2 linked regions of the Xenopus tropicalis genome follow. The protein of the gene in region 1 interacts with the protein of each later gene in a pairwise test. Links are inferred from orthologs where the notes say so. Each region holds a gene or a part of one and is shown in the gene's direction. Other genes may lie near its edges.

Evidence for each region. The genes of interacting proteins can lie anywhere in the genome.
Region 2: the proteins of cdca7l (region 1) and ctnnbl1 interact in binary tests that used the Homo sapiens proteins (3 or more experiments, as listed by UniProt). The link is inferred for Xenopus tropicalis from reciprocal best matches to the Homo sapiens genes CDCA7L and CTNNBL1.

What each region holds. Positions count from the first base shown.
Region 1 is NC_030682.2:39,651,653-39,659,229, reverse strand, and holds the end of cdca7l (cell division cycle-associated 7-like protein), read left to right. Parts: intron 1-1,636; coding exon 1,637-1,978; intron 1,979-2,522; coding exon 2,523-2,597; intron 2,598-2,681; coding exon 2,682-2,867; intron 2,868-3,198; coding exon 3,199-3,333; intron 3,334-4,283; coding exon 4,284-4,433; intron 4,434-5,110; coding exon 5,111-5,247; intron 5,248-5,496; coding exon 5,497-5,527; 3' UTR 5,528-6,333; downstream 6,334-7,577. UniProt on the Homo sapiens protein: Plays a role in transcriptional regulation as a repressor that inhibits monoamine oxidase A (MAOA) activity and gene expression by binding to the promoter.
Region 2 is NC_030686.2:39,412,418-39,419,683, reverse strand, and holds the end of ctnnbl1 (beta-catenin-like protein 1), read left to right. Parts: intron 1-71; coding exon 72-220; intron 221-985; coding exon 986-1,167; intron 1,168-1,855; coding exon 1,856-1,953; intron 1,954-2,072; coding exon 2,073-2,153; intron 2,154-2,948; coding exon 2,949-3,086; intron 3,087-4,117; coding exon 4,118-4,190; intron 4,191-4,774; coding exon 4,775-4,863; 3' UTR 4,864-5,329; downstream 5,330-7,266. UniProt on the Homo sapiens protein: Component of the PRP19-CDC5L complex that forms an integral part of the spliceosome and is required for activating pre-mRNA splicing.

The sequences.
Region 1 (7,577 bases):
GGGTCGTACGTACTTACCTAATTTTATATTTTTAATGCACACACATAATAAGAGAAATCATTGGAAGAGAAAACTTTGGGCACTCAAACAAAAGCTGTTGTCCAGTTATTTGTCATGAATGAAGACCAAGGGGCTGATTTACTAATCCACGAATCCGAATCCCGAATGGGAAAAAATCGGATTGGAAACGAACATTTTGCAATTATTGCGTAAATTGTCACGACTTTTTCGTAGCCATTACGACTTGCTCGTAAATTGTCGCGACTTTTTCGTAGCCATTACGACTTGCTTGTAAATTGTCGCGACTTTTTCGTAGCCATTACGACTTGCTCGTATATTGTCGCAACTTTTTCGTATTGAGCGCTCGTAAATGGCGGGCAAACCTTTGCGACTTTGCATGATATTGGAAGCCTCCCATAGGACTCAATGGCACTCTGCAGCTCCAACCTGGCCCAAGGAAAGTCTCCCATAGGGCTCAATGGCACTCTGCAGCTCCAACCTGGCCCAAGGAAAGTCTCCCATAGGGCTCAATGGCACTCTGCAGCTGCAACCTGGCCCAAGGAAAGTCTCCTATAGGACTCAATGGCACTCTGCAGCTCCAACCCGGCCCAAGGAAAGTCTCCCATAGGACTCAATGGCACTCTGCAGCTCCAACCTGGCCCAAGGAAAGTCTCCCATAGGGCTCAATGGCACTCTGCAGCTCCAACCCGGCCCAAGGAAAGTCTCCCATAGGGCTCAATGGCACTCTGCAGCTCCAACCTGGCCCAAGGAAAGTCTCCCATAGGGCTCAATGGCACTCTGCAGCTCCAACCTGGCCCAAGGAAAGTCACGATACTGAAGCTTGAATGAATCCAAAACTTTCGTACTCGGCACAACGGCTATGAAAAAGTCGCTACAATTTACGAGCAAGTAGTAATGGCTACGAAAAAGTCGCGACAATTTACGAGCAAGTCGTAATGGCTACGAAAAAGTCGCAACAATTTACGAAAAAATCACAAAATACCGATCATTACAAAAAAAAAAATGCATTCGGGATTAGTAAATGTGCCCCCAAGTGTGAAAGTAGCCATACACGTTAAGATCCACTCGTTTGGCTTAGTGGCCAAACGAGCAGATCTTCTCCTGACATGCCCACCTAAGGTGGATGATATGGGGCTAATTTGATCGTTTGGACCTAGGGCCAAATGATCAATTTCCAACAACAGGTAGAGGAGCCTTCGGACTCAGGACCGCATCTATGAGCTGATGCAACCTCAAATCCGATGGGAAAATAAAACCTGCCTGATTTTTTGGCCTGGTATGGATCGGGGAGGCCCATTTGGGGGGCCCCATACATGGCAGATAAACTGCCAAATTGTTCTAAAGGACTTAAATTTACAGCTTAAATCTGTTCGTGTATGGCCACCTTGGCTCATGGCTTGCAGGTCAGTGGCTTTATATAAGGGTTGGACAACAAGATGCTGGGGGTTATAGCTTGTTTTGGGATGTGTATTGCCAAAGAACAAACTAACTTAAGACCTTAATAGCAAGCCATGATGCTTTATTAGGGATTTATTCATTGCTTCTATATCATAACATATATTGGACTGAATATTACAAGGTATAATTTGGTTTTTAATATTGTTTTTTTCTCCAGACAGGGGCTGATGAAGGCTATTCTGTGGATGTTGTACTGTCGGACAGTGAAGATGAAGCTCCCTTACCTAAAAAGAGAAATCAGGGTCTACGCGTTGCTCTCCCATTCACTAACAAAAAGTGTGCCGGCAAGACTGCGAAAAAGAACCCCGACTCCTCACTTGTAAAACCAGGCAAAAAGGATAGTAAGAAACCACCCTCTAGAGTGAAGAAAGAACAACGATCCTGCAAGAAAAGACCAGCTCCTGGATCTGATTCAGAAGATGAGGATCCTACTTCCAACGTCGAAAATCCAAGTGCTTTGCTGAAAAGGGCAATGAACATAAAGGAAAACAAAGCAATGGTATGTAGCAACAAAACAGCTGACATGGTGACTTTTTACACATTTAGCCATATTTACCAGCATTTTAAATACTGACAAACTGAGACACCTTAGTGAGGGCATCACCCACATGGACTTACAATTGAAAGGGAGGCAGGTATAGGCGAGACATGGGGTATGTAGTTACGGACATTTATGATTATGACTGAATGGGTTTTGTCTTTTTGTCTTTCAGTTATTAACCCTTTCCCTGCAAAACATGTAGCTCCTACATGCTGGCAGGAAAAGGCTGTATGGGTTAATGTCTGCAAGAGGAGTATATGACCTGTACAGCATTCTTCCTGCTAAAGGGGATAGGACATTAACCCTATCCTTCCTGTGCTGCTTTTACAGGACTTAGCACAAAGGATTTTTCAGTTAGTAAAAACAAATCTCCCTTTTTTTTTTAATTTGTTAACCCTAATCAGTATATATTGGTTTATTTTATATGTTTAATTGTGAATCAGATTTGTGTTTAATACAGGTTTTCTAATTTTCTTTTTTGTATTCATTTTTTTAATTTCAGCTTGCTCAGCTTTTGTCAGAACTTAATTCAATGCCAGATCTCTTTCCAGTAAGGACACCTTCCACATCACCCGCAGTGAGTACCGTGTCTGCTTTATAAGAATTATATACTTTACTTTATGCAATGTAAGCCAAAATTACAGTTTTTTTTCCCCTCTAGAAGCAGAAGAAGACTCCTCGGAGGACATTTTCTGAAGGTCATGTTGAACGGCGTACAAACCCAAACAGAAGTGCTCGGCCACCAGAGAACTTTGGTTTGGAAAATTTTGCTTTGTCAGCTGTTAAGTTTGCTGAGCATGTTCATAAATATGGCAAGAAAGCTTTTATAAAGCGGACTTTGAGTGAGGTACCCAATCGCTTTCTTTAAACTATGTCTAACAACTAAGTATCTTTTCCTGGGGGGTAATGCTTTTCAATAACCCTAAATGGCAGTTAATGTTGTGGTGTTAAAATGGAGACCACTAAGTAATTAAAGGGATACAGTGGTTAGTGTTTATTTAGGCATGAAAACAATGCTTTTTTTTGTAAAGTATGTTTGTGTTGTGTGTATTATTTATATACACTTTTGATTTGAAGAGTGTTCCAAAGAGAATGCTAATGTCACACAGGTGGATTCTCCACCAAGGGAGATTTCTTTTAGTGACAGTTGTTAAAATAGACTTGATCTTTTAATATAGGATGAGAGAGAACAATATCAAAAGAGGAGGCGATCTTCCAAGAATACTGTGGTGCGTGCCGTAGAAGATATTACAGAAGAGGAGCTGCAAAATGTTGCAGACTCAGTCAAGGATAAAATTTATGATAAGATTTTGGTAAATATCCAGCTTTTCATGTAAATGTATTTGTATAGGGAAATATATTTGTATTACTATATTGGGCTCAAGGCACACGTGGTGTATTTTTCACCATTATTTTTCAGCCGGTAGAGAAATGCCTGAGCCTGTCATTTACATTAGTAGAATTTGTCTGTCAACATTAATGGAGAAATTATAAGTTCTTAAGAATATTTTGTTATTTTTAGTCTTTCCTTTCACCCACAATATACTGTATTTAGGAAATAATCAAATTGTTTGATCCGTTTTACAAACTTAAGGGGGCATTTACTAACGCATTTACTTTTTTTTTGACGCTGAAATATGAATTTGTCACAGGGTAAAACAAAACCACAACAAATCTAAATACAAAAATATGGTATCTAAAACCTGTTGATCATGTAGAAGTCAGTGGTAGATGGCCCTTTTACAACTGGATCTTTCTTTGCTTCTTGGTTTTAGAGGTTTTCTGTGTTTTTTTTTTTCCCTCTGGCTTATGTATGACAATACAAAAAGCACGGTTTTCATGTGACCAAACGGAAAAGTCTAGGTTTTCTCATTTTTTTCTGCACCTTTTAAGTTTGGTCTTTTTCAGTTCAGATCTTTTCATAAATGACTGACCTTCATGGAAATTAGTTTAGTTGTGGTTTCAAAAATCTATAAAACTACGAAAATCCGAATGGTAATAAATGCCCCCCTAAGAGTGTAGTGTAGAACATACTTGCTCCTTGCAGAAAGTTCCCTGGGGTCCTTGCTTCAATCCCAGCCAGGGCACTGGCTGAAAGGAGTTAGTATACTTTGGTGTAGTTTTGTTTATTGATCCTGCAAATCCATTAAACGGAGACTGGAAATAGTTCTTTCCAAAATATTGTAATTTTGTTCAGTAAACTGGTGTGTGTGTGTGTAAATTAAGCTCTTCTTTTTTTTTTTTTTTTTTTTTTCCATTTTAGGGTAGTACTTGTCATCAATGTAGGCAGAAAACAATTGACACTAAGACAGTTTGCCGTAATCCTGGATGCGGTGGTGTCAGAGGGCAATTTTGTGGGCCCTGCTTGCGGAACCGATATGGGGAAGATGTTCGAGAAGCACTTTTAGACCCTGTGAGTAACCCAGCCTTGGTCTGAAGCTATATAATAGTGCAATTTAATAGTGACACCAGCTGTGTTTGGCTTTTTAAGTTTATTTCTTTCTGAGCCACTAATAGTGTGTCTTATGCTTCAGAAAGGGACCTGTTTAATTAAGCTTCTTGCCTCTTCAAACCACTTTGACTTATTTCTGATATTATTTATGTATGTTTATAACATTTTCTTAATGTGTTTTTAAATGAATGATACATTCTGTATTTTTTATTATTGTGTTGACTCCTGTTTGTACTGTTAATTCTAATGTACAGTACTGCATGCCCTATTCTATGCATGTGTAATGCTGTCTTCGGAATGCTCTATACAGTATGTAGGTTGTTCCCCTTAATGCTTTAACTGAATCCTTTTAAGTGCCCCTTACCACTACATCTGCCTCCAGTTTCATTTATATGACTAAAGGCATGTCATCCCTAGAACTGGTGCTTTTCACCTGAAAATTCTCAAATAAGCAGTTCCAACACCATCATCAAACCTGTTTTTTATGTAAACGAATTGGTTAGTGGTGATTGCCACATGACTTCATTCAAATGAATTTTTCCATTTCCTTCTACCACCTACCTCAAAAAAGTTGTGTGTAATAAAATGTTTGTGTAGTTTACTGCAGGATAGTTCTATTTTTCTCTTCTTAATTCCAGGATTGGATTTGTCCTCCTTGCCGTGACATTTGTAACTGCAGTTACTGTCGAAAACGCGATGGCCGCTGTGCAACTGGCATGCTCATTCATTTGGCAAAGTTCTCTGGTTATGACAATGTGAAAGAATACCTTGAGAGGTACAGACTTTCTACTTACAGATTCATTCCCTATTTTACGCTTCAGGAATTGTATTAAAAGAATAATACTTCTGTTGAAACTGTAAATTATTTGTATCAGGCATGTTATTGTGTAGCAAGTAGAGATGTAGAAAATTAACTGCTTGAGCAGATCCATCTCTCTGTCCCTGCTTTGAGAAGAAGCATGTGTATAGCACTCCATATTGCAGTTTTATTATACCATACTTAACTTTTCTCCTTCTCTTTCAGCCTGAAGAAACAAATGGAGGATGAAGACTGAACAGCTGTAAACAACCACAACTAGAACTAATCCCAGTGAACGTTTCTACTTATGGCTAATAAACCCTGTGTATCCATTTAGGCACAAGGAACAGTAACACCAAAAAATGAAAGAGCTTTAAGGTAATAAAAATATAATGTACTATTGCCCTGCACTGGTAAAAGTTGTGTGTTTACTATAGAAACACTACTATAGTTTATATAAATACACTGCTGTGAATCTATGGGGGCAGCCATTTAAGCTGAAAAAAGGAGAATATGCACAGGTTCCAGACCAGATAATATTCTGTAGAATATTATGGTTTTTTTATCTGCTACCTGCTAAGTAACCTGTGCCTTTTCTCCTTTGAATAGCTGCCCCCATGGCTACACAGCAGCTTTGTTTCCAAAACGATAGTAGTCTTTCTGAGGCAAACACACAACTTTCATCAGTGCAGGGCAACAGTATATTATATTGTAATTATTTCTATACACCTTGTTTTTGATGTTACTGTTCCTTTAAGCAACACCCTTTTTAAGTAAGGAACAAAAAAATGTGCCTAATTGGCACATTTTCTTCTTTTAAAAAGAAATTTAAATCCCAGAATATACGGTTTTGTACATGTTTTTAGTAGGTATCCAGAAATTTTATATTAGTGTGTATATATATTTTTTTAAAGTTTTAGTTAAAGCTCTTAATCGCTGAAGTTTCCTTGTTCACTATGAATACTGCAAACATGGAAAGGTTTGTAGCTGATTTGACCATGTTGTAATGCTAAATTGGCCTGATCTGGGCATTTGTTCTACTTTATAAAAAGTTGAAGCAGGCATTTTTTGTTTTTTTTATCACCTCACCTGAGGACCAATGGAGACACTGGTAGACAGTTTGTCATGAATCCTTTACTCTGTATTCTGGCCAAACTCAGAACTGCAGCAGTTTCATTTGTGACATGACAAGTCCCCCTGTTTACAGTATAGACTGCGATTGCAACTGTATTTTATCACTGATGCATTTATAGTACTCAGCTTTTATCCTTACAGAAGCCGTAACACAAGGAGGCAGGTACTGCTTTTTTTGTTTATGAAGCAGTGTAAGAATAGCGCTGTACCTTGATATTGTGAGTTTAACCTTTTTGTTTAGCTGGACAAACAATAACAATCATTTGCATGGATGCTAGTATTATGGTCCCTGTAAGCAGGAGAAATGCACTGATGTTGCAACTTCCCAGTTTGGGCATAACTTGTATATATGCTGCTGTCATTTCAATCATAGCTGGTAAAGGGGTGGTTCACCTGTTATTAATTTTTAGTATGATACAAAGAGCGCTATTGTAAGACAATCTGCATTTGGTCTTCATTTTTATAATTGTGTCTTTTGGATTAGTTTATGTTTTTGTTTGGAATTTTAGCAGCTATCAGTGGCTAGGGTGCAAATTACACTAGCAACCAGGTAGTGATTAAAATGAGAGACTGGAATATGAATAGGGGGAGAACCTGGATTGAAAGATTAGTAATATAGCCTCATACTGCAATAATTTTTGACTGCCGGTGTCAGTAACCCCCATTTGAGGGCTGCAAAGAGTCAGAAGAAAACATAATTTAAAAGCTATAAAAAATTGACAAATTGAAAAGTTGATAAGAATTGGCTATTATATATCATAGTAAAAGTTACCACTTAAAGGCAAACTACCCCTTTAAACTGAGCTATAAATTGATGTTGTACAACAATGTTTCATACTTTTCTGTGGCTCACTAATGCTCCTTTTGATCAAACTTTTTATTCACTTTTTGGTCAGCATCTCTCCAGTTAGAAGTTTTAGCAGTTATCTGGTTGCTAGGGTCCAAATTACCTTAGCAACCAGGAAGGTATTTGAATGAAAGACTGAAATCTGAATAGGAGAGAAATGAATCAAAAGATAAGGAATAAAAAATAACAATAACAAAATTGTAGCCTGACAGAGAGAGTTTTTTGGCTGCTGGGGTAATTGACCCCTATTTAAAGACTGGAAACACTCAGAAGAAGGCAAATTAAAAAAATATTACAAATAAATAATAAAGACCAAATTAAAAGT
Region 2 (7,266 bases), on another chromosome or scaffold:
TGATCTGTTCAAACTGGAGGAATAGCCCATGTTGATCACACATGCATATCCCTAACATGTTTTTGGGACAGGTTTTTAAGCGCCATGATCCAGGAACAGCAGAAGAGCAGGAGATGATGGAGAATCTTTTTGATGCACTTTGCTCCTGTCTGATGCTGAGCAGCAACAGAGACAGGTTCCTGAAGGGAGAGGGTCTGCAGCTCATGAACCTCATGCTCCGGTGAGAAATAAGTCCTAGGGATAATATAACCCATCTACAGTACATTGGAACAATATATACCCCTTACCATATATCTGTACTCTGTCGCACCTGGGTAATTTTGTTTTTGTTGAATAAAAACAAGATTTCCTACCAAATAAAGCCCCTGTAAGCTGATAGGGTGCATAGAGGCCCCTAATAGCCAATCACAGCCCTTATTTGGCTCCTCCATGAACTTTTATGGTGCTTGTGTTGCTTTCCAAATTTTTACATTATGGCAATCCACCTGTGATAAGCTGAAAGCTGTAGTTTTTACCAGGGCCATGGAAGTGGCATTTGTGTCAATTTTTTTTTAATATTGTAAAAGTTGGCAGGAAATGGATTCCTGCTAGCATAGTAACATAGTAACATAGTAAGTTGGGTTGAAAAAAGACATACGTCCATCAAGTTCAACCATAATGCCTATATATAACCTGCCTAACTACTAGTTGATCCAGAGGAAGGCAAAAAACCCCATCTGAAGCCTCTCTAATTTGCCACAGAGGGGAAAAAATTCCTTCCTGACTCCAAGTATGGTTGACATAGACTAGGCAGCGGCAACTGCAGGCCCTCCATATAGCAACAGGTTGCAGTTTAACACCATCTGGAGAACCCCAGGTGATGGTATTGCTCTGAGCATTTTTTCATTTTACACTAATTTTCTTTTTGGGTTTAGATCCCCTTTAAATGCAGTCTGGATATGTCTGTGCTATTTATCATGCAGTGACCCTATCCATTTCTTTACAGCGAGAAAAAAATGTCCCGTTGCAGTGCCCTGCGGGTATTAGATCACGCCATGATCGGCCCAGAGGGTACAGATAATTGTCACAAGTTTGTCGACATCCTCGGACTCCGAACCATCTTTCCTCTTTTCATGAAATCTCCCAAAAAAGCAAAGAAAACCGGCGTCTCTGAGAAGGAGCATGAGGGTAAGTGGCTAGAGAAGGCAATGGAAGCTGCGCCTACTGTTTTTTGGAATCGCCCGGCACTAATTTCTTAGCAAAATAACTATTCAAACCTACTGGTCTAGACCTGGATAGTAACTGTGAGCAACCAGCATATTGCCCCAACCCACTGATGAAGGTTCACAGGACCCAGCTGTGATTGTTCCAAGTGCCTATTTCCCACCCTGCTTTTGACACTGGTCTCCCTAGAGCTTCGGCTAAGCTCTGAGTATCATTACCAGGCAGCCAACTGGCAGCTTTCCAGTTTAACTCACAGAGGCTAATCTCTAACTGTGAAAAAATATTGAGGGTAACGGTGCTTTGCTGGCAGCACAATATGCTTAAGCCAAAGGGATTAGCAGACGTCGAGAGAGAAAAAGAAAATTTCCTGACATAAGTCTGCCCCCCCTTGTTAGCTATTTAATTGTTCCTTTTATTAAGGCAGCTCTTCCATATGGGCTCATAATCCTTCTACCTAGTGGGGGTTATGGACTGTAGGCTGCTTTCCAATGCTGATTATTTTAATAGTGTGTGTAATAAGTATCTATCCATATATACAGTTCCTATGCCACCATTTATATAACTCCATTTGTTTCATGTTATTTCCTCTTTCCATGTATGTAACAAGATGTCCCAGCTCCCCCCCAAACATTGTTCTTTGCTTTTCCTACAGAACACGTGTGCTCCATCCTGGCCTCGCTGCTGCGGAACCTGAGGGGTCAGCAGAGGACACGGCTTCTCAGCAAGTTCACAGAAAGTGACTGCGAAAAGGTGAGTGTGAAATGCGAAAGCTCTTCTTACACCTGTGATGAGCACAGAAATAGTTCACATCACGTGTTGGACCTGGAATGTTAAGCTTTTTTTTTTCTTGCCTTCTGATTCTCCCGCAGGTGGATCGGCTCATGGAGTTGTACTTTAAATACCTGGAGGCTGTACGGGTGGCTGACAAGAAGATCGAGGGAGAGAAGCATGTTAGTATCCCTGTTCTCACATTGGATATCTATTCTAATAACCAGTTTCACTCACACTTCATGTAGTTTTCTTCTCCAGCTTAAAGCGAATGTCCTAAAGTAGCTGTTAATTTGCTGTTAACCTTCCAGTTGTTCATATCTGCCCTTACTCTCTTTCTCTCCCCCACTTACTATTCTTTCTCCTATCCCTTTTGCTCCCTGTTAAAAGAGGACTAAGGCGTAAATGAGGCTACAAATGTTGTACATAATGTTTTTGGATTCTGTACTAGAACAGAGCAACCACCGCCGTTAAGCAGTAAAGATCTATGGTTCTAAAGATGCCCCCAGTAGCACATACTACTGCTGTCACTTACCTAACCTTAAGAACTGAAGCACAATATACTGTATATATAGAATATAAATGTGACAATATAAGGCTGATTAGTAATTTTCATTGCATGGCTGCTCTGAAACCAGTGCAATTTGCGTCAGACTGTAATAGCCCTATAAGCAAACCTCATTTTCTGCTTGATTTGTGATAACCCAAGCTAAGCTTCTCAGCAGCCACCCCAGAGCCCACTGAGCATGTGCAGTGTCGCTGACACTCCTAGCAGAAACCAAGATGGGGAGCTTCTGGGGCAACTGAAGGTCATTACAACTAGAGATGCTGAATCTTTAAACTGGTGCAATAAGTATATAAAATATTTGGCATTTGTAGCCTTATTCATTATTAGGGTTCAGTTCTCCTTTAAATATTTTTACTTCCATTTCCCTTGTTTTGCCACCTGTCCTTAATGGAGTATGTTGTGCTGGCAGGATATGGTGCGCCGAGGGGAGATTTTAGATGATGATGTCGAGGAGGAGTTTTACTTGCGAAGATTGGATGCCGGCCTCTTCCTGCTTCAGCTCCTGTGTTACGTCACAGCGGAGATCTGTAACAACAACCTGCCGCAGGTATGCCCATCCTGCAACCCACCAGCTCTTGTTCATCTTCAGGTTAACTTTTAGTACAGAATGGAATGTCCTATTCTTAGCAACTTTTCAGTTGGTCTTCATGTTTTATTTTGTATACCTTTCCGGCTTTCAAATGGGGGTCACTGGCCCCAGCAGCCAACAAAACTATTGCTCTGTGAGGCTACAATGTTATTGGTAGTGTTACATATCTTTCTGTTTAGTCCCTTCTCTAATTCTATCCCTGCCTCTCTTTCAAACCACTGCCTGGTTGCTAGGTTAAATTGGACCCTAGCAGCAAGATAGCTGCTGAACAAAAAAACTAAACAATTAAACAGGCAATAAAAAATAAAGACCAATTACAAATTGCCTCAGAATAGCACACTCTACATCATACTAAAAGTTAATTTAAAGGTGAGAAACCCTTTGAACAATCTGTGGTAGGACATTAGTTTAGGAATATTGGATAAACTTAGGAAAACAGTGAGAATAAGATACTTAGGAGGGAGCACCGTGTTTCGTATTGCAGTGATGCCTCCTCATCCAGCTACAAATTACACAGATATTTAAACCATCAGAATTTCACCATCCCTCAGTTTTAGTTTGCCAGTGCTCAAATGGCCTTCCAGCAGTGGTCCCCAAACCTTTATGGGGTGTAACCATCTTTATATGAAATGCAATAGCCTGCTTTATTAAGCAGGGGTGATGATTTTTATCATCTAAGGAAGAGATGGATGCATACGCTTGGCGTTGGGTAGCGGCACAATAATTGTTTAAGCAATAAGATATAGTAACTGTTGCTAATAGAGATATTGGCCTATGTTCTTCCCTTCTGTGGGCCGGTACTTAATTATTATTATCCCCTGTTGCCTAATCCATGCTAAATTGGCTTTGTTTGCATTCCTCCCATGGCTGCTTCCTACCTTCTCTCCTTGCTTGCAGTTCCACTTCTTACTTTTTGATCAACACGTTATGGGATTTCCTTTCCCTTTCTTGTCTCTTTCACTCACATTTTCTTGTGCTTTTAATTCCAGATTCGCCAGAGAGTGCTGCAAATTCTAAACATGAGGGGAAGCTCTGTGAAAATCATGAGACATATTCTAAAAGGTAAGTTTTAACTCAAGAGATCCACATCCCCATATGCTGTACTGGACTGTCTTTTCCCCATTTTACATTACTACTTCCTCTGTCAGATTTTAAGGGTTATTTATATAATATATGGAACAAAGGGCCAGGGGATTATATGATACGTTATATGATACGTGAGTGAGAGGCTGTAAAGTTTATATGGAACTGAGAGGGTGGGGTTATAGGGAAGAGGAAAATGGAGGCACCAAGGGGGCTGGTGTGAGTGTGGATAGGCGTGTAATATGGGGCAGTAGGAGGAGTTATAAGGAAGGGGGTAAGGGAACAATGGGGGAATTATAGCTATGGGTTATATGGAACAATGGGGGAGTTTTATGTAGCAATAGAGGAAAGTACAGGGAAGGGAGTGGGTGTACTGTGCTTAGCTGACAGTAAGGGATACATGGGGACTGTAAGAAATATGTGGGGACAACAAGGAATATATGGGACCTTCTAGGAAACTTCTTCTGCATCTGTTCCATTACTTTGCCAGTTTTTCTTATCGGGAGGGCTGTCACTTTTTTTTTTCTCCATATCTAATTTCCCTGCTTATTTTTACCCTGTAGAATACTCTGAGAGCATTGGTGATGGGAAGAGCGAAGAGTTCCGGGAAAGTGAGCAAAAGAGAATTCAGGAGCTGCTGGAGACGCTATAACACCTACCGGCCTCCTACAAATGCACCCTAAATACCTTGCCCCGAAGGATCTATATGTAAATAGAACTTTTAACATTTGGATTTGCCATTTTTTCCTGCAACCCACCCTCTGTCCATCTGCTACATTTTTTTTTTGTCTTTTGACGTGAGTCCAAGGTGATGCCATCCAAATGTCCATGTTTGGTATTTTTATATAAAGTACAGTAATAATAATTTGCATCTCCTTCTGTGTTTTAAAAAGATTGCTGAATCACATCTTTGGCTGGTAGGGGTTATGCATGGGAAATCACTCCCTGTAGCCGTAAGGCTTTAGCTGCTATTTACTGTGCCCTTGCCCAAAGGGCAGTGAGTAGGTTAACACTCCTGTCACAGTAAGTGAAGCCTTATGTCTGATCATATTTACGGCCTGTATTCCGATACTGTATGACATGCTTTTGAGTGTAAAGAATAAAGCACTGGCTCATTGGCTTGTTTCCCTGCCACTCAAATGCCAGACGCTGCTGTTTAAAAGATCCTGTTTGGCTTTCGGATCAATAACTGGCAGAGGCAGCCATCGAGCAGACACTTGAGACAGGCTGCACCTCTGGCGCTCGGATAAAACTCGGCAAGGATGCAATCGATATATCAGAATGGCTATTGTCAGCCGATAGGAGCGCTCCTAAAGATTCCCAGAACTGGAGGCTATTGATCTTATGGCAGGCGTCTGATAATTGCTCGCTGGGGACGGGGGGACAGGGGACATATAACCTCTGAAAATGCAGTTTCTAGGGAGATTCTAAGGGCTACGTCATGCCTGTGTCACTGGGACTTTTCTGTAAATTACTGATTTTTAGCTGCAAGTATATCTTCTCCCTTTAATCCTCCTTTCCTAACAAGCTGCCAAATGATAACTTGGTGCTGCATTTTGCGTACTAACAACTATAGACCGTATTAAATGGGGTCTCCTTTTGACTCCCACATAACATGGTTGATGGTTCTGAATCATATAGTCGACAAACAAGAGCTCCCAGTGAAGCGAAGGCTTAGAATACTGATCCAAATCTGGTCCTCGGTTTTGTCTGATTCGTGTCACTTCACTATACAGGTATGGGATCCCTTATCCGGAAACCCATTATCCAGAAAGCTCCGAATTACGGAAAGCCTGTCTCCCATAGACTCCATTTTAATCAAATAATTCTGAATTTTAAAACTGATTTCATTTTTCTCTGTAATAATAAAACAGTACCTTGTAATTGATCCCAACTAAGATATAATTACCCCTTATTGGGGGCAGAACAGCCCTATTGGGTTTATTTAATGGTTAAATAATTCCCTTTTCTCTGTAATAATAAAACAGTACCTGTACTTGATCCCAACTAAGATATAATTACCCCTTATTGGGGGCAGAACAGCCCTATTGGGTTTATTTAATGGTTAAATGATTCCCTTTTCTCTGTAATAATAAAACAGTACCTTGTAATTGATCCCAACTAAGATATAAATAATCCTTATTGGATGCAAAACAATCCTATAGACTTAAGGGATGGAGATCTAAATTACAGAAAGACCCCTTATCCGGAATACCCTTGGTCCCAAGCTTTCTGGATAATGGGTCCTATACCTGTACCAGATTTTTTGCCCCTGTTGTATTTCTCATATTTCTATTCAGACCCGCTCCTAAATGTACATATTCCAGTCTCTCATTTAAACCTGTGACTGGTTGCTAGGGTATTTTGGACCCTAGCCACCGTATAGCTGCTACATTTCCAAGCTGTAGAGTTGATGAATCTAAAGCTAAAGAATTGTAAAACCAGAAATTAAAAAAAAAAAAAAGACCAATTGCAAATTGTTTCAGAATGGTGCTCTCTACAACAACCAAAAAGGTAATCTTCGTCGTATGTCTCCTCTCCATGCAACGTTGGCTTTGGGAGTTGTAGTACTACAGATTGCTTGTGCCTGCTCAATTGTATATTTAGGGGTACCTAATTAAATGGCCAGTCAGATGTTAGCTTCCATAAATCATACTACACTATTGCATATTAACTGCTTATTGGTTGCTGTGGGTTACCAGATAAACCTTTACAATATCACCAATTAACCCAGACTGACTCCACTTCTTCATCTGCATGGAGCCCAGAGCAAGTTGTTGTGGGGCCGGTAGCCAATATATCTGTCCCTGCATGGCCTGTGTATATGAATCCGGTAGCAGGAAGCGGTTAAATGCAGCCCACACTCGGTGCTGACCTTGGAGGAGCGCTAGCCGAGGCTGCCCTGCTGGAGCCCGTATACATCGTCTAATTGATAACCACGCAGGAGCCAGGAGACGGTTCCGGTCATTAAAATCATATTATCCCACATCGGCCGCTATGCCTACTGTAATGAGAAAAAAGCGCGCGGAACTGTTTTGGGGTGGAGGGAAGAGAC